4 linked regions of the Arabidopsis thaliana genome follow. The protein of the gene in region 4 interacts with the protein of the main gene of each other region in a pairwise test. Each region holds a gene or a part of one and is shown on either strand. Other genes may lie near its edges. The genes, in order: AT1G11940, NHL1, AT3G13175 and AT1G15150.

Region 1 (7,014 bases), 1.2 Mb from region 4:
AAGTTTGAACATCAAAACCAGTTTCAGGGAAGAATAAGAGCTTAGGTTTTAATGTTGAAATCATGTAGATCTTCTCTCTTCTTTTGTTTTGCATTGTATTTGGTGATGTTGCTTGTAAGTTGTAACCAAGGTACATTATTACTATTTTTCTAATTTCATGGATATAAACACATGAAAGAAGAATAAAGAATCTTGTCTTTGCTACGTTACTAGTGAGAAGTAGTTAAAAGGGTGTCACAACCACTTGTTACTATTCTTTTGGTTTGAGAGCTCTGCTAACTAAGATTTTAATACTTCTTTTGTGTTATGAAACACTGAAAGCAAAATCCACTACATAGTACAGATGCTTCAAAGTTCAAACTTCAAACTGAGCTTCTCATCATTTCAATTTTTCAGACCCAAGGTGATCATTTTTATTGGACTCTGCATTTAACTATATGGTTACCATTAAGTTACCATATATATTATAAAAAAAAATTACCATACATCTCAAAATTAATCACAATCACTCATTTATATACAAAATTCCTTTTAAATAAGTATGAGCATTTTTGTTTTCTAAAAATATTTAGTGTGAGAGGATAATGGGTTTTAAGCCCAAATGAAAATAAAAGCCTAAAGAGAAAACAAGAAGATTGCAGGAGGAGGAGGAGGAGTTGAGTTTCTGATGAGAAGTTTTCGTTAATGGAAGTTTTCCTTTTTTTATGATTGCTAGGCTTAGCTCGAGTCGGTTGGGAATTTTTTTAATGGTTAAGATTTTTGAACTTAAAAGATTCAGAGAGATTTTTATAAAAATGACAATGCCAATACTATGGATTTGGAATAATTGCATTGTTGTAGCCCAATTAAAAAAATGTTTTTTTTAAGCTAATTTTAGTGAACAAATTTTTTCAAAAAATGTGGCCCAATTGAGCTCAACTACCGTCCAACGGCTCGTCGTTTGACTCATTTCTATGGAATCATCAGATTTGCAAAAGAAGCTTAGAATTCCGACGAACTAGGCCCAGTCCGCCCATAAAGCAACCAAAACATGTGCTTTACGCTACCAACTATAAAGAAAAATGTAAGGTCACTTGTTTAAAAAGTTTGTTTTGGTTAAGTGTTTATGTACTTCATTATTGTGTGTTCGAGTCCTTGAAAATTTTAGTTTTTTTTTAACAATTTCCAGGAGAATGAGTAAAAGACATCAATCCAGAGTAGAATTTGCTATTAACATATTCTATTAATCGAAGCCAGTTTCTTCAGACATATACACATAGAAATTTTAACACCCAAACACAAGATTATCCATGAAGAATGATTATTAGTTTTTACTAAGCGTCATATATAATCATAAACCATTAAACCTCATGAGGGATGTTTGTAATGTATCAATGCTATTCCTACTCTATGTATACGCTCTGTTGCTTGACCTACTTGCTTACACTGTTGCAAAGTTATAAGGTTTTGTTTGCTGATGATCCTATTAGTCCTTCACTCACAATGCGCATAGCAGCTTCATTCGTGAACTTCCTTGCAAAGAGAAAGCATGGGACGGGTTTCGAATCCGCCTTACACCATTCCGTTCGAGATTCAGACTCGTAATAGACATGGTCTATTTTCTGTCCCGAGAAAAGCAAAAGAACTAGAGAGATTACTTAGGGATTCATTCGGTTGTGATATTAATCCTCTGAACAAAAAGATTGTACCTTTATTTCTTTTATTTCCTCAGGGCCGGAGTTTTCCAATGTGAAAGTGACGGGATGCCAAGATTTGGCTTCATATTTTGTACCTGAAACGTTCCATACAGTGTATGTCACTGTTCTTCGTTCCATTTCACTCTCTAGTCCTTGCATCTGAAATGGTCAGTTTGTAATACATTAACAATATGGAACTTTTTAGATGGAAACAAAAATGAGAGAGATGTGTATCAGATATGATGGTCACCGTAAGCAATGTTTGCACATAGTGTTCATCGGGGATGCAGTTGCGTCGCTTCTGTTTCTGAGTTCACATCAAACGTAATAAAAGTTTCCCCATTTGTTTAATAAAGAAAGAGGTTAATCAATGGAGAGAAGTATTCATAGACTACAGAAAAGACACTGTTGAGATTGTTTTGAAACCAACACAAAGAATCAACATAAACATTCAGGCTGGTATTAAATGAAAAATACCAACTTTGAAATAGCACTTACAAGAAACAACCATGCCTCATTGGTACCTAAAGGTGGACATCTCTGCAAATCGAAAGAGAAATCAAGAAGTAAGTTATTGTTTCTTCAGCAACAAAGAATCAAGATTGAAATTAAAGTCATGATCATAAAGCTTAATCTTTACCTTGCAGAATTCCTTAAAAACTGGGAATACGATACCATCATTTACAATGACCTCTGCATGACTTCTGATCAAAGCTATCCACTGCAATAGATAAAACTAAGATGAGATTAAAAACTTCATGAACTTTAAAAGGTCCCTATCCTCCTAATGCTTAAATTTTCACAAGAAACTCAGGCTTCAAAAATCTTGGTAGCAATGTTCATTTCCTAAGCAAGAAAATGAAGATACCTGGGATCCTTTTCGCCATTTCTCTTCAGGTATGACAGGAGACATTTTCACACTGTACCGTGTCTCTTTAGTATGAAGAAAACTGCCAATAGAGAGCAACAAACATAGTTATCAACATCTAGACAACTCCTCTTATAATACACCAGTTATCAGGCCATATATATCAAGTATGAAGTACTAAGAAACCTCATAAATTCAGACTTTCAATCTACCTATCCACAAAACTCCTCGGTGAAGAGATAAGATATTTGTATATATAGCCAAAGTCATATAATGGAGCACATCTGCAAAACAGAAAGTAGATGAAAATGAAATAAGTCCGTACAAACCACAAATGTGCTCAAAGTCAGATGCAATAAGTGGTCAGGCATAAGATGATCTGAAAGAGTAATGCTGAAAGAAGCAAACCTGTCAGAGAGAAGAACAAATCTTTGATTGGAGTGATCCTCTAAAGCAGATGCAAGCAACAATCTTTCTGCTTCAATCATGCTTGATTCTCCCCATACTACCTATAACCATAACAACACCACCCTAAGTTTCACTATAAAAAAACATCAAATGGAGAAATTCTCATGAACACTCACCTTAATGCTATTGTTCAATTGGCGATTATAGAAATACTGTGATCGTGTAGTTTCTTCATTGAACACGAAACCAGGTACTGAATGTATATAAATTGAGAAATTCGCATGATCCACTCCCTGCAAAATCACCAGAATCAGCAATTTTTTCGAAATTTAGAATAACGGACAAGTATTAATAGGACTAAGAATCTTTTTTGACCTTGAAGAATCTATCCCACATAAAATCAAGTGGGAGATCACGGCGAGCTAAGAAAAGGAAAGCGAGCTTGGGACGATCACCGGAGTATTTGTGAAGCGGTGTCTGAGATCTCGCGACGGAGAGTGGAAACGACAATGTCGTGAAGGAATTGTACTGTAGTTGGATTCGAAGAAGAGCAAGAAGGCAAAGCGCGACGGAGAAAGCGATTACGAGTTTCCATCCCAGCCACACGACGCCGCCGCGACGGGACAATGGAGGCGGAATCTGCGGCTGTGATTTCTTCGTCATTGTACTACGATCACTCACCGTCGTACGATCAACATTCGAGTTAGAGAAACGAACAATCACAAGTCTTTTTAGGGTTTTTGAAGTCAATAAATTTCTCAGGAGAGAAACGGAAACTGAAGAATTGCAAATTACAACATTTTGGATTTTGAGAGAAAGAGAGAAAGAAAGGTAGAATGATGTTGATAGTTCGACGTATAAACTTGTAAACGACGTCGTAAGCCACGTACACGTTTTAAGTTAGTTGGGACCCACGTTAAATTAGAACATCATTAAATTGTTGTCCGAAATTGAAATTGTCAGAAAATGGTATGAAAATTATACAATTTGACTAGGAATATTAATTATTGTATTTCCTTCTATACAATTAGAAAAAAAAAAAAAATACCTTAAAACAAAACCTTTGGAAATTAATGTATTAAGTCATTTTAAAACCTTTGAAAACAAAACAATCCATATTTACTGCAGTAAAAATTTGCAAGCAACAACTGAACCAATTGTATTTGCTACTATGAATCTATGATGCTCTCATATCATAAACTTTCATTTGCTCTCAAAATGATGTAAAGATACAAAACTATACAAAAGAAGCTTACATCAAATATTCATTCATATGCCAAAACAGACCGGAAAAGGAAAAGTTACATCAAAATCCCATTTGAAAAAAAGGAAATCATTCTTTTCAAGAGACACTTGTCTCTTTTACATACATATATCACAGCAAAAGCCAACTACAATAGCCATGGCTTTAACAATTCTACAAAATCTGCTGTTAATCCTACAACAACAAAGCTATAGAGCTTTTAGCTGCGATCTAGCAATAATGTCTCCACTTCTTTCAGAGCTTGTTCAACTGCATAGATCACCATCTTTTTTATCTGTTCACATGGCAAAGATTAAAACAAGATTCAACTACAAACAAAACTGTATCCATTGACAGAAGTTGCTAATCCAAAATTGAAAATATCAGAAAAAGAATCACCTCAAGTTTGTCTTCTCTGGCTTTATGGTTCTTAGGGAGTTGTCGAAACTCATCAGTCAAACGGAGACACTCATCGATGTTTTCAGGGGAAACAAAATCAACAGCTACCTTTGTGCACGACTGTATCAAAATCCATAATACAAGTTAAAGATAATGAGAAAAAGTTTAGTTAATAGGACAGCTTCCATTCAAATAATAACCTTGAGATTCCGAACTTGATGAGGACAACCTGCTGGAATAAACACTGCTTCTCCTAGCTTTTGCACAAATGTCCATGGCTCAATCCCTTTAGTTCAAACAAACAAACACAAAAACGTAAGAATACAATGTCGGTAAGTGACAGTTACTACAGTTACAAGTAACCATACCAAATTCTGCCTTGAGTTTTCTTTTATGCTCCACGGTTAAGAAATATGACTGATCATGTATTGGATGATACACCTAACATAAAGAATCCTATCAGCACAATAACCTCTAAGACTCGGAACTGAAAACGTTTTGTGGATTATTTCTTACCTTTGTAACACGAGAGCAATAAGTATGTCTGAATTCTATGCAATGCTTCCTTAGATACTCTTCAAGCTTAGGAACATCTTCTCTTTTAAAGATGTCCCAAAGTGCACCACTTGTTTCATCATAAACCACAATCTCATCACTCACAACCTCTTCTTCCTCTAAACCATTTTGCTCCTGAAGCTCTTTCTCATTCTGTTGCTTATGTTTCTGTTTCAAATCTGCAATTGCAGACCTTTGCTCCTCACTTAGTGTTACTTCAGCAGTATGCATCAGAATATTAACCTACAAAAACAAAAAACCGTTATACACCTGAGAAACCGTATTATTATTTAACAGTACTAAGTAACAATTCTGAAACTTACAGCATCTGACATATCACAGTGAAGCTTAGTGACTGAATCTCCTCTACCGAGCTCATCTGAAGTCCCATATGCAACATAAGTTTTTGGACCAAGATCTGGTTTAAGAAGTCCTTCAGGAAGTTTTGTAGCAATGTTGAGAATTCCTGATCTAGGATCGCTGTATTCTTGAAATGGTAATGCGGAAATGAACTCATCGCAGTGACGAGGTAAAAGGTTTTCAAACTTGTCTGAAGGAGGCCAATCCTTCAGCTTCAGCATCTCAGGCCAGAAGTTTTCATATGTTCTTCCTTTGCTATATCCTTCAAAGAAACATAGAGTATTTATCTTCACCTGAAATAACAAGAAACAAAATGAGCTTTATAACCTCTTATACAGCTATAGAAACTTTATAAGAAAATGAGTTTCTACCTCACAATTAGCTAAACAATCGATAGCTTTGACATCAGACATATTAGAGCTAATTGCTGAATCAACATTCTCACATAAAGCCCGCCACATCACCATTGGCTCCCAGCTTAAACCAGCTGTGTTGTTAAGAGCATTTCGAACAATCACTGGTTCACCTTTGGACCAATGCTCTTGGAAATGCAGAAGTTCTTCTTGCTTCAGGACATCCAAAGAATCAGGAGAATAAAGGTAATTGTCACTAGATCCGTCCCTCGAAGCTGCCTTCCTCTTCATACTACTCATATCAGAAGAACATCTACAATATGACATTGGCGGTTTGATACTATAAGAGGCTAAGAATGTTTCTGCCTTTTGCTCCAAATCTGACATCCAAGTCACTGGTAAGATTCGCTTAAGCTCCAGCACAGAGTCCCCGCAACCTCCTAGCTCTTTTGGCGCACACCGTATGCTTCCATTTTCATCAGCATTCCACTTGATGGATGGAGTTTTAGTTTCATCCTCGGAAACAGAAGAAGAGCTCGGTTCTGCAGCTTCGCCATGTATATACCGGGTCCCTCTGTACTCGAATTGTAGCTGACATTCCGGGCGGTCAGAAAGCCAACCTCCACGGATCTCTTGGCAACAGTTCAGACACAATTCATATGAACACTTTGGACAGCTTCGATGCAAGTCAACAATTGATGTTGCACAGTGGTTACTAGAGCAACAAAGACATTTCAGTGATATATAAGATAGATGTCATGTAACTCTTCAAACACATGCAACAAAAGGATGATACTTACCAGAAGACACGCTCTTCATTTGAGCATAGACTCTCGGATATATCAACTTGAGAAGCCATTGAATCTATAAACATATCAATATGTTATCTTGTAGCAAGAAAAAATCTTGTCTTAGTAGTAAAAGGGAGAACCATATATACCTTGAACCTTAGCCTCGGTTTCGATTTCTTGATCTTGTGCTTTGCATAACTTTTTCAGGAAAGGAAGCATCGCCACAATCAAGAAGCGAAGATGATAAAATCTTTCGTATTTATCGAGCTTTCTCTTAGATGTCTGCAAGACAAATAGATACATCTCTATTCACACCAAAACAAAAATCGAACTTGCGGTTCTTGATCTATATAAACAACCA
Region 2 (5,653 bases), on a different chromosome or scaffold from region 4:
TTATTGATAGATAACCAAGATCGGTTATACTTAACCAACGGTTTAATTTTTTGAAAAAGAAGTGCCGTTACGTTTTGAATGTGGTCAGAGCTTTTTCAGCAATCGAGAAGCATTTCAAATGTAAAGGTTTAATAATTAAACGTCTAGCCACTATTGTTACTAAAAAGAAACAATTTATTTAGTGTGCAGCTCCATAAAACTAGGTTTAAGTAGGCGTTATTTTCAAGTTTGTTTCTCAATGCTAAGGAAGAAAGTAGGAATATGTAAAATGTGATGAGTGATATCCCAAATTGTAGAAGGCTTATCCCAAATTCGGCCCAACATAAAATAGTGTAGCCCGTTAGTAGACGAACATAAAGACGCTACTAAAACCCTAGTTTCATGGAACTACACTAAATATAGTCATGAACACATAAACTCAAAATGTCTAAGATAGAGATCATAATTATTAACATTTTTAAAACACTTAATTTGTTTGAATGAAGAATTATATTACAAATAGTTGATCAGTATTATTTTGAGATAGATCCACTGCATATGTAATCAATATTGATTCATTCCAAATATGCATGCACTGATGCACGCACTATTGATCAATGATCAACTATCTAAAGTTTCCGTTGTTGTAAATTATTTTTAAGTTAGGTAGCAAAGGCCATTTTTCAGAAAATTATGTGAGTTTGGCTGAGCATTACTCGGACGTTCTAGTGCCTTTGTGTGAACAGCACACACAGCACGTTCATAACCACTTTATTTTTATTGAAAATCAAAGGAAATCCAAAGTTAGGTTTCTCAACTTTATTTGAGATAGAAGTATGGAACGTTGCTTATATACTACTATATATCATGTGACTGATATCCAAAGTCTTATTGGTGACTGACTTTTTTCGTCTAACGTTTCTTATATTATTTTCATTCCCAACTTAGATAATAAGTTTTAAAGGACCATATTCCCCTTTAATTTCTTTGGTCAATTTCATGGACCACATTATAAGTTAAATGAATGGAAATGCAGATAAACGAGAAATAAGTCTCTAGACCGGATTCTGATTTTCACAATTCAAGATCCAAGAATATTCACGGTAATCCAAGAATATCCACGATAATATCCACGATAATATCCACGGATTCTAAATTCTTGTAAGTAACGTTATGTATTAACTTTATTTCAATGTAGCAAAACTCTAGGAGAATGGGCTTTTAAAGTGCACGAAAAACATTTTTTTAAGCCAGACACCAACAAATAGAACTTATCTATAAATCCATAGATGTGACTAAAAATAATCCAATCCACAAAATTTATCTTTTTGAAATGTCTTATTTGTTGTAGAATAGTCTCTATATAAAATGCATCTCTCTATTTAATTTAATAAAAAGATGGAGACAAATGGACAATGACACCATCACACAACGTCCACAAAACATTAACGAGCCTAATCTATTCAACTAAAAATTAATCTCCATCGCCATCAAACTTTACCATATACATAAGAAAAAGTCATCAAAAGTCGATTTGACAGGATCAGAAGATGCATCAAAATCAGCAAAAAAAATACTTCGAAAAAATCATCACAACTTATAATAGAATTTAGAATTCAACTATAATAAAAAAAAAGTATACATATTGAAATTCTTAAAATTCGTTACAACATCACGAATCTGTAATATTTGCTATTCGTATAAGCAAAATGTACAATTCACATCACTAAGACAGATTACTTAACGAAGACGTTTAGTTACCTTATTTTTCTTCGTCGCCGTTTCACACACTAACACTACAACTAGTGGTAAACGTATACTTAACGGCGTTGTCTCCGACGATAACTCCGTTAGCTTTGTTACCGAAGTTTATATATGCTGGACACTTCACATGAAGATGATACTTCCCGGTGATAAAAGTCCCAACCTTCCACCTCACTCTACCATCAGCACGAATGATCAACAAAACGACACCGTTATCTTTATCGGTGTCAAGACTAACGCCGTTAAAAGGAGCGATGGGAACGGAGGTTCCGTAAACAAACGGCGACCAGATGTCGACATCTTTGTGTCCCTGATACGTGGGAGGGATTGATGTTGGGAAAGTGATTTGTTGGCTCCGGTAAGTAGCGTAGACGTCAAGCCGGTCGTAGTAAATGCCGATTTTGTTGTTAGGGTTCCGGGAAGAGAGAGTGATTTGGAAGTTGGAGGTGAGGAGGTTCGGTGGATTGCCGGAGACGTTGAAGGCGTAGACGGTGGCGTCTTGGAGGATGAAGCGTGGCTTTGATGGTTGGAGAATTGCCCAAATGAGGAGGATTGTTAGGAAGATGATGAAGAGGACGAAGATTATTGACCAAAATATTCGCCTTATTAGTTTCCGGCGAGAGTGGCCGTGGTTTTCACAGTCTTTCATGGTGGTTGTTTTTTTTCTTTCTCCGACGGTGAGTGGTGGTGGTGGGGAGAAGGTGGAGAAGTTGTTAAGAGATTTTTTGTTTTAGTGATGGCTCTAAATAATGGGCTAATTATATGTAGGATTTATAGGAGTGTGATAGGGAAATAAAGGTATTCTCATATTATAAACTATAATAATTCTCCCTAATATTAAAGGTATTCTTTAAAAAAAAAAATTGTAATCAAAACAAAGACCCTTTTAAAGAAACAAGTATTCTACATTTTTATTTTCCATTTAATCACAACAATATATTTTTAAAAATCATGCTAACCTTCTTACATAAAATTTATGTTGTGATATATTTATTGTTAACTGTCATTTTGTATTCTCTATAATTCATTTTGTTTTTTTCCTACATTTATATAAATGTTGAAAATTTATGAATGCGTGATTGATGTGGTCGGTGCAAGTGTTCTTTAGAAAGGTGACTTTATGTGTGGTCGAAGAATTTTTCATCGGCTCCCCTCCAACCATAATAAGCAATTCAACTAGCTAGTTATAATTTCACTTTCAGCTTCACGATATATAAAAAATTCATTATCAGTAGATTCTCTAGTGTGAAATCAAACTACATATATAGTAACTTGCTTGTTTCAAACAGTAATTTGTGTTTGTTAAATTTGATTTTTCCATGATCATGGAACTCGGATTTGTACCATCCCTCAAAATAAAAAGTTCAGAAATTTGGAGCTGTCACATGGGTAAATGAGTTTTCACTACAAATTATTAGTCCATTTGTGATACGAATTTATAGACCAATCTAACTTTTTATTTATTTAATGATCATATATTGCGTATACATGTGTGGATTAATAATTTGATAGAGATTGAAAGAAAGTTCAATTTATCCACGTAATTTCCAATACAGAAAAAGAGGACGTAAGTGACCTAACACTAGTTGCCAAAGCAGAAACCACCACTTTTTCCATCATTTTCCTTGTCGTGTTACGTTGATTAACTACTCTAAATATTCTGTAATTTTGGAGAGAAAGTATTAGACGGGGCACTAATTTCTCTATCGGTATCGGTCGACATATATTTGGTCTAGTCGTGATTAAAGTAGTTTTCGAAATTTTAGACAATAGCGATATTAATAGGGAGGGTTCTTTTCATCTTTGGCGTAAAAAAAGGGGAATAGCTTGAATTCGTGAAACAAAAGAACAAAATCACGAAAACGGCCTTCATAGTTCATATTTTTGCCAATATAGTTATTTTATATATCATCAAATACGCTTCGTATTGATATTTTACAAAAAGACATCTAATAATAATCTACCCTTTCTATTAACAAACAAACGACCTACAACAACTGTAAAAGTAAAAAAGGATAACAATAACGTAGTGGTTTAATAAGTCACAAGCAATAACTGGGTGGCCTATGGGGAAATATCTACCAGCCGAAGATTGGCTTGTGAACGTGAGGTGGTACGAGATTCAGATCCTTGCAATGTTGATTATCATAGTCTTTTGTTCTTGGTGTTGCTCCAGTGCATAGTCTCAAGAAATCGTTCCCTGTTAGAACATAGTGTGAGAATGCCAATCCTCCATCGACCACCTCGTTAAAGCTCGGAACCGATCTTGATTTTCGCATCTTCCTTCCTCCCTCTCCATTGTTTAAGATCTTATCGAGATCTGAATACTCCATGAACCTCTGTGTTGCTGCTTCCCAAGAGAGATTGTACATTTGTTCAGGAGTGAGAGGTAGTGGCTCTTTCGTCATTGCTTCTTGCACTTTGGACACAAAGTCTTCGGATGTTTTGTAAGTTAAGCAGTTCGGGAATGATCTAAAGAATTCGTTTGAAGGGTGATCTGCACACACCACAAACTTCCCCATGGCTAGTGCTTCTGCGGTTGCTGTGCATAGAACATCGCTGATGCTGGGGTTTATGAACACTTTGTACCTTCATCAAGATGTGGGAAAGACAATCAAAGAGCGAAACCTTAACAAGTTTTTAAAAGCAAAGCACATTTTTCAGAACTTACTTGTGAAGAGCATCGTCAGCGTGGTCCCTTCCTTTGAGGAAATTGAGATTCAAGTCATGTTTCTTTGCTGCACGTTGGACCTCGACTGCATCTTCACCGTTCCCATATACATCTAGATTGAAGCTCCCAAGTTCGCTTTTGTGTTTAGCCATCAGATCTATTAGTTCTCTGTATCCTTTAGCCCACACCATTTTTCCTAAGAAGTATGCACCTTTTGAGAAAGCTTGTTCACCACGGGATCTCTCTTCAGCAATTTTCTCCCCAATCATAAGGAACTTGGGATTGACACCATGGACATTGCATACAACAGACTTTGGTAAATCTTGTGTTGCCGCAGAGAGGCGAAGAACCTTTCATGAGTAGAAAATATGTATTAGCTCGTGTACTATTTATTAGTAAAGAGGATTCAAGCAACAGAACAAGGCTTGAAGAAATAGAGTAGATGATTCACCTTGTCACAATACGCTCGTGTGACCCAATTGTTTACATGGTTCACAAAAAATGCTTGAAGAGCTCCATTCTTCTCCCTCTTGATGTACTCTAAGTAGTTTGTGTGGACAATTCCAACAACATGGTTGAATTTATCAGTCCAACGCTTGCCGTGATAATACCAGTTGAGATGTTCAGGTTCTTCAAGTATAGCAATGTCAGCATCTTTTGACGATATAAATTGAGAAGTGTCACCAGCAGGAAATATGCTGCGCCTTTCTTTTGAAAACTATAAGAAACCAGAAAGCTCAGTTACTCTATAGAAATAATTGAAAAACATATTGGCAGCCATAGAAATAAAAAAATAGAATCCAAAATGATCAACATACCTTTCCTGGGTAAAAGGAGATTTTAAAATCAGCCTTGAAACCAATCCTTTCCTCCAACCATTTACGTATATAACTCTCTTGTTCTTCAGGTGAGCTGAAGGTGAGATTGTTTGGATACACTAGTTCTTGATCAGATTCGCAGAGCCAAGGAACCACGAGAGTAACACTCTGTTTTGCAGCTTTTGCCAAATACGCCGCTCTGAATAGCGGATTTACAGCTGTTCCGGTCATCCAAGGAAGACTAGCTGTTGTAACAATTGCCACATGCCTTTTGTTTTCCGGTGTCTCAGGCTTCACAAAATCAGTCCAAAACCCACCATCATAATGGTGTCCTGTGCTTTGAAGAACACTGGCTATCCTCATATCCAAATCAACTCCATGGTTATCATTTTCAATTAAATCGGATGCTTGTGCAGATGGC
Region 3 (5,055 bases), on a different chromosome or scaffold from region 4:
TTGACGTTGTGCTTAAATCCTTCAAAAATGTCTCGAACCAAAGACCAAACACGTCTGATTCTTCAATCAAAGAAAGTGAAAACAAAATTGAATAATCGAGATCGAAGAGAGACAAACCAATCAGCTTCTGGATTCATGCAATAGTTCCTGAATTGATTGATGGAAATTTTTGGAGATCTTCCTTCAGCCAGATCTACAACGACCGATTGAGTAAAATCTGCTCAAAAAACCGAAACATAGTGATGAACAACGGAAGAGCCAGCGAAGTCATCGACTAGAAATTTCGACATAGATTAGAGGACAAATTACTCAATACGATTCGGAAAATTTTGGGATTTTCTGATACCTTTGATCCTTTGAAGCAAATTAGTCGATTCTGAAATAGCGAATTTTCCCTCCATCTCTTTCGAGTTTCAAAACTGAAAAATGCAATGGTCGACGAATTTTTGTAGACGGGAAGAAAAGGGATGGGTGCGAAAAGCTTGCCGTTAAAACCTTCGAATTTAAACATGCGTGTCGTTTAGTTCCTACTTTCCATGACGTTGGGCCATTGGCATTTAGGCCCGATACGTAACTGACGTGTCATTTTAAAAACGCATGTGTTTTTAAACACGTTGGGCCGTTGGCTTTTAGGCCCGATCCGAAACTAGGCAAAGTGATTGTGAAAAAGATTCATGATAACAATCAAACCAATATAAATCGATTTATTCAGACTTGGAGACATTTTAGTGATGCCAATATAAAATAATCATGTGCACTAAATTTGAAATAATTAATGTGTATGGTAAACTAGATTAGAATTAGTTCTAGACTTCTAGTGGTCGAGATTTGTTCATAAGCTTTATGCTCGGACACGTGAGGAACATACCAAAATGTTCGAATCTATTATGCCATACACTTATTTTAATCATTTCTTCTCTATGATAGATTGCTCACCTAATTTATATATAATCTAAGAATATACTACTTAGCTTTAACGTATTTTATCCGATAACGAATTCATGATACCAAAAAAGTTCTAAAACAAAAGAGGCATCTTGTATTATTTATAGTATTTCTAACTAAAACACAACACTGATAACATTTAAATTGCTTTGTTCCGTTTAATTAGTAAACAAATGAAAAGCTGTCGCGTCGGTGGTTGGGTTTCATTCGGAAAGATTTAAAAGTAAAGCGCACGGATTTTAAGGTCGTTCAACATTTAAATTTTTTTTGAAAGTAAAATCATATATCAATGCAATGTGTAATCTTGTAACGTATAAACTAATGAGAGATACCTAAAGAAAAGAAGCCTCGCGCCTAAACAGAAACATAAGATTAAAATAAGTAATATAGAAGCATAAACTTAAGCAAGATTTTATTCCTCGTGAAAATATTACATTTTGTAATTTTATTTTCTCTAGTATTAAAAAAGGAACAACTAATTAACGGAAATACTTAAGGAATTAAGAACAGAGAGGTCTCATACTTAGTCAAGTTTGGTGAAGCTATCAAAGAGAATGTCTTCGTGTTGTCCGCCGACGACATAGTCAAGAATCCCTTCCGCCGCCACTTTTAAGCCTGCGCCTTCGCCTGGGATGATGGTAGACGAAACCGGGAGATCGGAGGTGCGTGCGAAGAAGAAAACGGCAGCGAGAAAGAGAGCCGTGGAGAGAAAAAGTGGCCAGAAGTAAGATAGAACGGTGAGGAAACCGGGAGAATAAGCGACGAGAGCTACGGTGAGGAGAGATAAAACAAAGGCAAACACGATTTGCAACTTGAACTTCAAAAGCTTCTCCCGGAACTCCATCTCCGATCACCGACAAAGATCTGTGAGTCTGTGACTGTTGTGTTAACACGAGAAAGATGGAGTGAAGAGAGATAGAGATATATCTAAAAGAGAGATAGTACAATGCTAACTCTCTCTCTGTCTTTCCTCTGAGTGTCTATACGTAAAGAAATAGGAAAGATTCTCTGTGACAAGGATAACGTCAAAATCTCAAGTTATTTTGTTTTTAAACGCGTTTGAAAATTATACTGTTTTTCTTCTAACGAAAATGATAATATATTTTTAAGATTTTTATGTTACTTTGTTCTGTGACTTGTATGAACATTTTTTTTTTTGTAAAGTTGTCGTAAAAGTCAAAGAATGAAACATTTTCTGACATAAATAGTAAATCGTACAAAGCTAAAATAATGATAAGAGAGATATTTTCAATTCAGTTATAATGTTGTCCGTTTTGCATGATTGAATTTTTAACTTTGGATTCAGGCCGACCAAAATATGGGCCTTTAAAAGCCCGATTTGGGTTGCTAACAGACGACTACTCTTTTGTTAGAACTTACACGAGCCGCCGTTTCTACTTTCTAGCTCTGGCAAAACGGCGAGGCATTTTCTTTAAACATATCAACATACAATTAGCAGCATCTCTACAAGTTTACACTTCTCTCATAAAACCCAACTCTACGAATAAAAGAGAAGGTGTTTTCATTTATCCTCTTCGTCTAATTGCATCCAAACTCTCAGCAGAGACAAATACAGCTTGCTTTTAACGTCACAAGGCTCGAACCAGACGAGCTGCAAATGCTCCATCTAGTGAGTGTTTCACTGGGTTTGATAAAAAGAAGCCTTGTGAGGTTACAAAACTCGACGGTACAAAACTGGTTACTGGATCTATGGTGAATTCCTGTGAAAGCAGAGAGACTATTTGTTAATATCAACATCTGAAGGAAAGCAAATGGATTATAAAGATTCTTACAGGATGTCTTAAGAGAAATGCTTCGACCCTTCCTTCATTTTCCTCGGGGTCTATGGAGCAAGTACTGTATACCAACACCCCACCGTGCTTCACCAGTCTTTGAGATTCAATCAAGAGTGTCACAGATAAAAGTATCAGATAAGTCGCATATTAGTGTTTCAGAATTAATCAAATGACTCATCAAAATGTATGTACAGAGTGCATACTTGGAGGCAGAATCAAGAAGCTCATCCTGCAGTTTAGTGAGCTCTAACATGTCCTCAAGTTTACGGTTCCAGCGCAAATCCGCTCTCTACAAAATACAGATTAATGGGAACAGGTTAATCAGATCAGGTCAATTCAACTAGCAATGTTAAATCTTGCTGGCGAAACAGTTAGATAAACTTTTCTCATGTTAACCTTGGAGAGGACGCCGAGTCCAGAACACGGGGCATCAAGCAAAACTTTGTCATATTGTACTTCATTGGTTTCCTAAAACACATTAAGTTGGAAGGAAGCATGTGAGTAGCTTACAAACTTGGAAACTTCAGATACTCAAATAATGTTAACTTACAGCAAAGACACGAAGATCAGAATGAATGGTTGTGATAAGTCCATCAACTTGGTGTGATTTTGCTGTCTCACCAAGAATTCTTAGCCGTCCTTCATTCACATCCATAGCATATATCATACCTATAATCGATTCGAGTTTGCCAGTTTGAGGATGGAATCAGTCAAGTATAGTAGAAAAGTTTCTCAAAATAGATAATTTAATTCAACATTAATGTACAATAGAGGAAAATAAGGGGTCTTTGTAATATTACCTTGGCCTTTCAAGCAAGATGCCATGAATAGGGTCTTTCCTCCAGGAGCAGCACATGCATCCATTATCCTCTCGCCTGGCTGAGGTTTCACCACTGAGACTATTAGTCCTGCAGTACCAGATGTGGGGAGATATTTAGATATCAAAAGAACAAAAGGATTTTGGATAAACTTAAATCTGTTAACAGCATGAAAAATTAATGAAGAGGAGACTGTATCTTTTCTCAGGAGCAGTCCAAATAATTACAAGACCAAACTGACCTGCACTCTCGTCCTGAACAGAACAGATGCCTTCTTTGAGTAAACCAGCTTGCACAACGGTCTGTTAAAGAAAAGGCCCATGATCAATTATGAAACTTATCAGTAAAAAAACTAGGATAAGAAAATTGCCAACAAGAGGACAATTCACGGTTACATTACAACACCTGCAAGCCTGTTTTGATGCGGACAAATTCCTCCAAATGTAAGGATAGCTCGTGTGGAACCTGCAGCATAGGAAAGCCATAATTGAAGTAAGAAACTAAGCATTATAAGAAACAATCATGTGCCTGGTTTTACACAAACACGATGATTTCAACTGAATAAAGAACGAGAAACATTAAACGAAAAAAACCTTTAAACTGTTTAGACGCTCCACAAGGTCTGCTCTTGTAATGTCCCTTCCCGTATTGGCCCTGATATTATTAGAAATAGTATTATCTGTCTGACAGCTAATAACTTATCTTTCCTTCTGTGAATACAAAATGTTATGGAGATAAACCTTAAGCTAAATCCAGGATCATTGTTATTCCATATCATTAGCTTTGTGGCTTCATCCAACCCAAGATACTTTACCCATCGTCTAACCATCCACTAGGAAGGAAAGGAAACAAAATGAGAGTTTCTTTCATCAAACAGGAATGAAGCCTTATCGCAGTTGTTCAGCAATACATAGTTGTTCAGCACTACATAGATATCCTCATAGCTAAAACCAAGTAATCTAGGAGCTTCACAAGTTCAAAGTATCGATTTCATACCACCAACTAGCTCTAGCTTCGAATTAAAACAGCATGGAAAGATGAGGCTGTAGCTATACAAACTTACAACGGGATGTGAATGAAGAGTAGCAAGTGCACGTGCCTGTGCACGATCATCCCCTTCCACTTTGGGTAATGGAAGGGCATCTTTTTCCTGCAGATCCCTACGTCAGAATTCATAGAAGCTTAAGTTTGTTTGATTAAGTACAACTAAAAAGAAAAATGGAAAAAAGTTTAAGAAAGAGAAACCTTAAGAGAGACTAGTTTACGAAGAATCCCATTGACAAAATCTCCAGCACCAGGTCTGAGGGCAACCTTTGCAAGCCTTACGTTCTGATAATGAGCAAGTAAACAATAAAGATAAAGTAATAACGAATATCAGAAAAATCTTTGACCTCACTAAGTTAGTAGGAAGAAATCATGCAGAATATGATTAAGGCTATTTGGCGCTCATTTCAATGACCAAATCTACTTTTGTAACCATTTGTAGAGTAAACTGA
Region 4 (7,198 bases):
ATGTATCATATGGTATTATTACAAAAAAGACCGATTATTCACGGCAAACGCTAGTCTAGCAGTAACATACAACGATTTGGCTGCTACCAAAATGGTGTAACCTGAGGAACAACATATGTGCCCCCGTTATCTTAAAAGGGAAGTTCTGACTCTGTAAGTTCTGATTCATGGGCCACAGCCATTCGCTTCCTCGCTTCACGAGCCTAGAGTTCAAATATGCATCCAACTGAACATCAATATGTTTATTTCACAATAGAAACATGTCATGAAGAAGAAAGAACAAAAGAAAAGGGAAAAAGACCTGGTTTTCCCAGTTTATGCAGCCTGTGACAAGAGCCAGCAGAAGAGTTTGCAGAACGGCACCGGCTATTATTCCAATCCAAAGGCCAACACCTTTCAGATGAACCCAGAAGGCTAAAGATGCAGCAATGGGTATCCCCCAGAGATAGAAAGCTCCAAAGTTTATGTAAGCCCCTATATGCTGCCACCCGCATCCGCTTGCAACACCTGCAAACCAACAAATGAGGGTTAGGAATGGCAGAAAAGAGTTCACCTTTAGTTATCTTTGACTAAAAAGTGCATAACATAATATTCGACACTAGTATATGTTTGAGAAAAGAAATAGGAACAGTTCTCGAACCTGAGAGAACCCCTTGTAAACTGTCCAGTATGAGAGAAATAGAGACCAGTGGAGCCATCTTTGCAACATAGTCGATGGTATTCTTGTCACTGCTGAAAACTTGGCCCAACAGATTCTTACCAGCTAATAGAGACGTACCCACCATCAATGCATCCACTACTGCAAGAGACATTGCCGCGTAGACCACAATATGTGCTGCTCGAGAGTTTCCAGCACCTAATTCATTTGAGATTCTTGTGCTGCACAAGAAACATCCCCTTATGAACATGAAACCATATGATTCCTTGCCATGAACAGCAAGTATGCTTGACCATTTATGAACAGCATAATGGTGGCTCTAACCTTGCTGCAGCTGCAATCGCTAGTGGTATCGAATAAGTCATCGAAAGTGTTTGGAGACTATTCATAGTATAAATAACATTATGTTTTGGCAAATTCATGATTGTGACGAGAGTTAGTAAGATGCAAGGAGGAGTACCAGACAGAGAGCACAGAAGTCTCCAGTTGTGGGTTGGGTAAGAGACCAGATAGTAATATTATGAGTTCATAAGACCACCACTCTAGGCTGCAACACATAAAAGAGTTTCTAACAAAAAATGTAGAGGCAATGAGAAGTGAAAAAGGAACAGAGAAAAGTGATGTACCAAAGCATAGCCGCAGAAGGAAGAGCATATTTGATAAACTCTCTAACGCCCTCGAATATCTCCATGGTAAGCGGTGCACGTGTCTCAGAACAAGCAGAGGAGAAGTACATGAAAGATCCAAGAAAGATGGCATAGAGCCAGTATGACAAACTGAGAGCCAAGGCTCCTCCAATATGATCAAGCCCTGACTTATAAACCAAAAGCCAACAAAGAGGAACATGGAGACAGAACACAACACAAGAGGTGATAAGGAGAGGTGTTATCAAGCTCTGGTTTTTGAAGTAGCGAGTAAGCGGCTGTAGAACAGCGTAAGCAAACAGTCCTGGGATGAGCCAAGCAGCAAATCTTCCGGCTTCGTGTGCAATTGAAGGGTCTTGGCCAAGGATCACGAGAAGCTTTCCCATGTTGAACCATAGGAGAGAGAGAGGGAGACACACTAATGTAAGACAGAACATAGCTGTGTAAGCCTGAACACCTAGTTTCCGATATAGCTTAGCTCCATAGGCTTGACCGCTGAGAGTATCTAAGGCACATGACAATCCCATCTAGCATCAAAAAGTAACAGTAAAGTGATGAGAGGATACAATTTCCATGGTTCTGGTAGCTAGTAAGAGAGATAAGTGCGTCAATTTTAGTGGAAAAAAGGAAAAGGAAACAAACAATGAAGCTGAAGCCAGTGACGTTACAGAAGGAGATGGCGAAGGAAGCGCTAGCGAGAGAGAGTCTGCCGAGGTGACCCACAATCACCATTGTTATGATCTGTAACATGGACTGAGTGATAACCACGGCAGCCATAGGAGCCGCAAAGCATATAAGCTTCTTGAGTTCTGCGGTGAAAGATCCGTCTTGCAGATCTCTCCATGTTACTTTCTCAACTCTGTCTACAGGATCTTTGGTGGTGCTCTCTGCGTCTTCCATGGCTAGAGAGACACTAAAGAGAGAGAGTTGAAATTTGAAACTGAAAGTGGTGTGAGTGAAGAACTACTGTCTGCTTTTTGTGCTTTAGTACGTGTTGTTCTTTAAGACTATGTACATTGCCACATTGGTGTTTTTATACAAAACCATATTTTTCATTTTTGTAACACATAATCGTCACTTTATTCCACCTATTAATTCAACATTTTAATATGCTCTCTGCGTTTTATTTTTGTGGCGTGATTACTGATGCTGACTCTTGGCTCTCTGCGTTTTCTTTTTTTAATATGCATTTTGCAAACTATATTGTCATCATCGTAAGAAAGTTTGAATACATAAAGCAACGTTGTTGGTGGTTATATTTTTCTAGTGATAGTAATATATGTGTGATCCTGTCATTATTACTTGTGGAGACACTTGTGAAGGTCTGTGTCGAGAAACATTTTCAGTGATTGAAAACTCTAGCTCCAAGACTCAGAAGCAGCTCCCACATCTATTTCCTGACTCGCAACTACTGTGTTACAGGTATAAGCGAGCTGGTATCAGCAGAATTGGATCACTACATCATTTTCTGTCCAAGGTATTTCTGAACTACCAGAATAATGCTTCATCGAAATAACGATTGCTGAGGGCTGCTAATATTACAAAAGAAAAGACCAATTATTCACGGCAACCACTAGTCCAGCAGTAACATATAACGATTTGGCTGCTACAAAAATGGTAAAATAGGAGGAACATCTGTGTCCCTGTAATCTTAGATGGGAAGTTCTGACTCTGTAAGTTCTGATTCATGGGCCACAGCCATTCGCTCCCTCGCTTCACGGGCCTAGAGTTCAAAATGCATCCAATTGAACATCGATATGTTTATTCCAAAATAGAAACATGTCATGAAAGACAAAAAGCAAAGGAAAGGACCTGGGTTTTCCAGTTTGTGCAGCCTGTGACAAGAGCCAGCAGAAGAGTCTGCAGAACTGCACCGGCTAGTATTCCAATCCAAAGGCCAACACCTTTCAGATGAACCCAGAAGGCTAAAGATGCTGCAATGGGTATCCCCCAGAGATAGAAAGCTCCGAAGTTTATGTAAGCCCCTATATGCTGCCACCCGCATCCGCTTGCAACACCTTCCAACCATCAAACGAGGGTTAGAAGAATGGCAGAAAAGAGTACAACATGAACAGGCATGACAACTTGGAGCTGTATATTCGACACTAGCTTATGTTTGAGAAACGAAATGGGAAAAAATCTCGAACCTGAGAGAACCCCTTGTAAACTGTCCAGTATGATAGAAATAGAGACCAACGGAGCCATCTTTGCAACATATTCGATGGTTTTCTTGTCACTGCTGAAAACATGGCCGAAAACATGCCTGCCGGCTAATAGAGACATACTCACCATCAATGCATCCATTACTGCAAGAGACATTGCCGCATAGACCACAATATGTGCTGCTCGAGAGTTTCCAGCTCCTAACTCATTTGAGATTCTTGTGCTGCACAATGTACTTGCTTATGAACATGAAACCATAACAGAAAGTATACTTCAGCATTTATGTACTGGATAGTGGTGACAAAAGCTCTAACCTTGCTGCAGCCGCGATCGCTAGTGGTATTGAATAAGTTATTGAAAGTGTTTCGAAACTGTCCGTAGTATGAATAACATTATGATTTTGCAAATTCAAGATTGTGACAGGAAATGGAAAGATGCAAGGATGAGTACCAGATAGAGAGCACAGAAGTCTCCAGCTGTGGGTTGGGTAACAGACCAGAAAGTAATATTATGAGTTCATATGACCACCACTCCAGGCTGCAACCCATATATAAAAGAGTTTCTAACAAAAAATGTGGAGGCAATGAGAAGTGAAAAAGGAACAGAGAAAAGTGATGTACCAAAGCATAGCCGCAGAAGGAAGAGCATATTTGATAAACTCTCTAACGCCCTCGAATATCTCCATGGTAAGCGGCGCGCGTGTCTCAGAACAGGCAGAGGAGTAGTACATGAAAGATCCAAGGAAAATGGCATAGAGCCAGTATGACAAGCTGAGAGCCAAGGCTCCTCCAATATGACCAAGCCCTGACTTATAAACCAAAAGCCAGCAGAGAGGAACGTGGATACAAAACACAACAGAAGAGGTGACGAGGAGAGGTGTGATCAAGCTCTGGTTTTTGAAGTAGCGAATGAGCGGCTGAAGAACGGCGTAAGCGAACAGTCCTGGGATGAGCCAAGCGGCATATCTACCAGCTTCGTGAGCAATAGCAGGGTCTTGGCCAAGGATCACAATAAGCTTTCCCATGTTGAACCATAGGAGAGAGAGAGGGAGACACACTAAAGTAAGACAGAACATAGCTGTGTAAGCCTGAACACCTAGTTTCCGATATAGCTTAGCTCCATAAGCTTGACCACTCAAAGTATCTAAGGCACATGACAATCCTATCTATCATCAAAAAGTAACAAGAAAGTGAGGAGAGGATGCAATTTCCATGGTTCTGGTAGCTAGTAACAGAGATAAGTGCGTCAATTTAGAGGAAAGAAGGAAAAGGAAAACAAACAATGAAGCTGAAGCCAGTGACGTTACAGAAGGAGACTGCGAAGGAAGCGCTAGCGAGGGAGAGTCTACCGAGGTGACCCACCATCACCATTGAGATTATCTGTATCATGAACTGAATGATAACCACGGCAGCCATAGGAGCCGCAAAGCAGATAAGCCTCTTGAGTTCTGCGGTGAAAGATCCGTCTTGCAGATCTCTCCATGTCACTTTCTCAATTCTGTCTACCGGATCATTGGTGGTTCTCTCCGCGTCTTGCATGGCTTGTGAGAGAGAGTTTGAAAGTTGAAACGGAAAGTGGTGAGTGATAATCGTGAAGTACTACTGTCTGCTTTTTGGTGCTTGGTTATGTGTAATTCCTTACCAAGGGAATCTATAGTGTAGTGCCACTTGGCAAAATTCCAAAACCATGAATGAAATATATACGTTAAATTTGGCTCAACGGTAGGGAGTGTTCATTGATAATGTACTCTTACGTTTTTTAATATGCATATTGCTTGTCACTTTTCTTCCACAATTCTGTCTTTTAATTACATGATTTGGTGTTTTTTCTTTGAAAGACGAGCTAGCAAAATTAAATGAAGAGGGAATGCAATTTTCGAAGTATCACAACAAGTGGTCGGAAAGTAGATAGAATGATATTTTGATCATCCACGTGGCAAAACATTGTAACGGAAGGAAATTAGGTGCATAGCAAAAAAAAATAACACAATCGTGCCACCGAACCAATCGGGCCGCCCTTTTCTACCGCCGGCTAAATTTGACGGTCACATATAGAGCCCCAAAAACTCTCCACCATGTCCACTCTTCCTTTCGCGCCTTCTGTCACCCATGCGCACTTTAGCCACTCCCTCTCCCCCATGTTTATCCTGCGCCATCTCCCTCTTACACGCCATCTCCGTTTATCCCGAAATAACCGCGTCGCTTCCGTTGTATCCGCCGCCGCCGTTCGCCAGGACGCTTCCCTCTGGACTCCAGCTCCTCTCTCTCTAATCGAATCAGCTGCAGAATCGCTTTTCCACATCTCAATCGACATTTCAAACGCTCCGGATCTCGTAGCTTCGTACACGAGACCCGGTCAGTATCTCCAGATCCGTGTTCCTGATGTTGAGAAGCCTTCTTTTATGGCAATCGCTTCTCCTCCTTCCTTGGCGTCTTCTCGTGGTGCTTTCGAATTCTTGGTCAAGAGCATCGCTGGTTCTACCGCGGAGATTCTCTGCGGGTTGAAGAAAGGAGAGACCGTTGAGCTTAGCTCTGTGATGGGTAATGGTTTCAATATCGATCTGATTGATCCTCCTGAGGAATATCCCACCGTTTTGATTTTCGCCACTGGATCTGGAATTAGGTGAGAGCTTTTTCCATTTTCTCTCCTACCTTGTTGGATTGCTGAAGTTGTCTTTTTTACTTCATGTATTCAATGATCCAAGTGTGGTCTAGTTTAAAGGTTTCAGTGCAGAGCATTAGCTAGATACAAAGCTTTCAAACTCAAGTATCTTGAATCTAGTTTAGTTACTCATTTTGCGGTGAATCCTCTGTGATGCCGGGTTCAATTGCTTTTTTGTGGACCTTTTTTGTGAACTCCAGTATGATTTCAATCTATCCAAAGGTGCCATGGACCAATTTTGTGGCTATTTTTTTACTGTGATGATGTTGTAATACTGAAATAGAGTTTCATGTATGAAAGGTCAATGTTTTTATGACTTTGGTGATCGATCAGATCTGTTGTTTATGCCAAGTAAAGGTGTTTCTTTCAATCATCTATTGTTCTAGGCCTGGTCAATCAAAAATGTTTAGTGATGGTGATGTGAATTAAGTAACTGTCTTCAATTTGGAATGTAATCTCACATGTTCTTATCTCTGCAGCCCCATCCGCTCACTAATCGAATCAGGATTTGGCGCTGATAGAAGATCTGACGTAAGACTCTATTACGGGGCTAGGAACCTGAATAGGATGGCTTACCAGGTTTGGTTCTTTCTCTCAGTTGTTTTGCAATTCATGATGTCAGTAGATATAAATGTGTGTGCTTGAATTATAAAAATCTTTTGATGATAAGCGTAAAGCCTATCTCTCGCTCTCATTTTGATCTACAGAAGAATCATCTTGGAAACGCTCTTGATTTTGTAGGAAAAGTTTAAAGAGTGGGAATCAGCGGGTGTCAAAGTTGTGCCGGTATTATCACAGCCAGATGATGGGTGGAAAGGGGAAACTGGATATGTGCAGGTGAGATTGAGAAACGTGCTCCTTAGTCAAGTCTGCTGTAACTCAATGTGGATCAAACTAATATATACATAATGTGTTGTATAGGCTGCTTTTGCAAGGGCTAAACAGCTATCAGCTCCCAAGGCCACGGGAGCGGTGCTGTGCGGACAGAAACAAATGGCTGAGGTATGCACTGTTTTTGTTTATGAGAACCTAAATGCTTTAGAAGATGTGTATCTTTATCATTGTTTCGATT

The links.
Region 1: the proteins of AT1G15150 (region 4) and AT1G11940 interact in a protein complementation assay, tested with the Arabidopsis thaliana proteins (one large-scale study listed by BioGRID).
Region 2: the proteins of AT1G15150 (region 4) and NHL1 interact in a protein complementation assay, tested with the Arabidopsis thaliana proteins (one large-scale study listed by BioGRID).
Region 3: the proteins of AT1G15150 (region 4) and AT3G13175 interact in a protein complementation assay, tested with the Arabidopsis thaliana proteins (one large-scale study listed by BioGRID).

What each region holds. Positions count from the first base shown.
Region 1 is NC_003070.9:4,030,332-4,037,345, forward strand, and holds AT1G11940 (Core-2/I-branching beta-1,6-N-acetylglucosaminyltransferase family protein), read right to left. Parts: upstream 3,825-7,014; 5' UTR 3,616-3,824; coding exon 3,328-3,615; intron 3,246-3,327; coding exon 3,129-3,245; intron 3,054-3,128; coding exon 2,953-3,053; intron 2,829-2,952; coding exon 2,757-2,828; intron 2,627-2,756; coding exon 2,545-2,626; intron 2,398-2,544; coding exon 2,317-2,397; intron 2,217-2,316; coding exon 2,175-2,216; coding exon of another isoform or gene 2,139-2,174; exon of another isoform or gene 1,984-2,138; coding exon 1,927-1,983; intron 1,836-1,926; coding exon 1,689-1,835; intron 1,602-1,688; coding exon 1,437-1,601; 3' UTR 1,203-1,436; downstream 1-1,202. Other genes in the region: AT1G11950 (Transcription factor jumonji (jmjC) domain-containing protein), read right to left, coding at 4,416-4,490, 4,595-4,714, 4,795-4,880, 4,963-5,035, 5,111-5,392, 5,473-5,802, 5,881-6,577, 6,663-6,726 and 1 more.
Region 2 is NC_003074.8:3,677,269-3,682,921, forward strand, and holds NHL1 (NDR1/HIN1-like 1), read right to left. Parts: upstream 2,676-5,653; 5' UTR 2,393-2,675; coding exon 1,763-2,392; 3' UTR 1,327-1,762; downstream 1-1,326. Other genes in the region: DGD1 (UDP-Glycosyltransferase superfamily protein), read right to left, coding at 3,822-4,332, 4,415-4,764, 4,866-5,132, 5,233-5,653. UniProt on the Arabidopsis thaliana protein: May play a role in plant immunity.
Region 3 is NC_003074.8:4,233,792-4,238,846, forward strand, and holds AT3G13175 (uncharacterized protein), read right to left. Parts: upstream 2,024-5,055; 5' UTR 1,790-2,023; coding exon 1,469-1,789; 3' UTR 1,284-1,468; downstream 1-1,283. Other genes in the region: ATSPO11-1 (Spo11/DNA topoisomerase VI, subunit A protein), read right to left, coding at 118-217, 347-401; AT3G13180 (NOL1/NOP2/sun family protein / antitermination NusB domain-containing protein), read right to left, coding at 2,535-2,666, 2,739-2,835, 2,945-3,030, 3,138-3,209, 3,292-3,410, 3,542-3,649, 3,801-3,861, 3,965-4,024 and 4 more.
Region 4 is NC_003070.9:5,210,479-5,217,676, reverse strand, and holds AT1G15150 (MATE efflux family protein), read right to left. Parts: upstream 5,203-7,198; 5' UTR 5,004-5,202; coding exon 4,746-5,003; exon of another isoform or gene 4,631-4,745; coding exon 4,086-4,630; intron 4,003-4,085; coding exon 3,916-4,002; intron 3,837-3,915; coding exon 3,780-3,836; intron 3,689-3,779; coding exon 3,450-3,688; intron 3,321-3,449; coding exon 3,115-3,320; intron 3,026-3,114; coding exon 2,954-3,025; 3' UTR 2,635-2,953; downstream 1-2,634. Other genes in the region: AT1G15160 (MATE efflux family protein), read right to left, coding at 132-203, 302-507, 641-879, 983-1,039, 1,119-1,205, 1,285-1,829, 1,945-2,202; AT1G15140 (FAD/NAD(P)-binding oxidoreductase), read left to right, coding at 5,540-6,087, 6,606-6,705, 6,868-6,963, 7,048-7,128.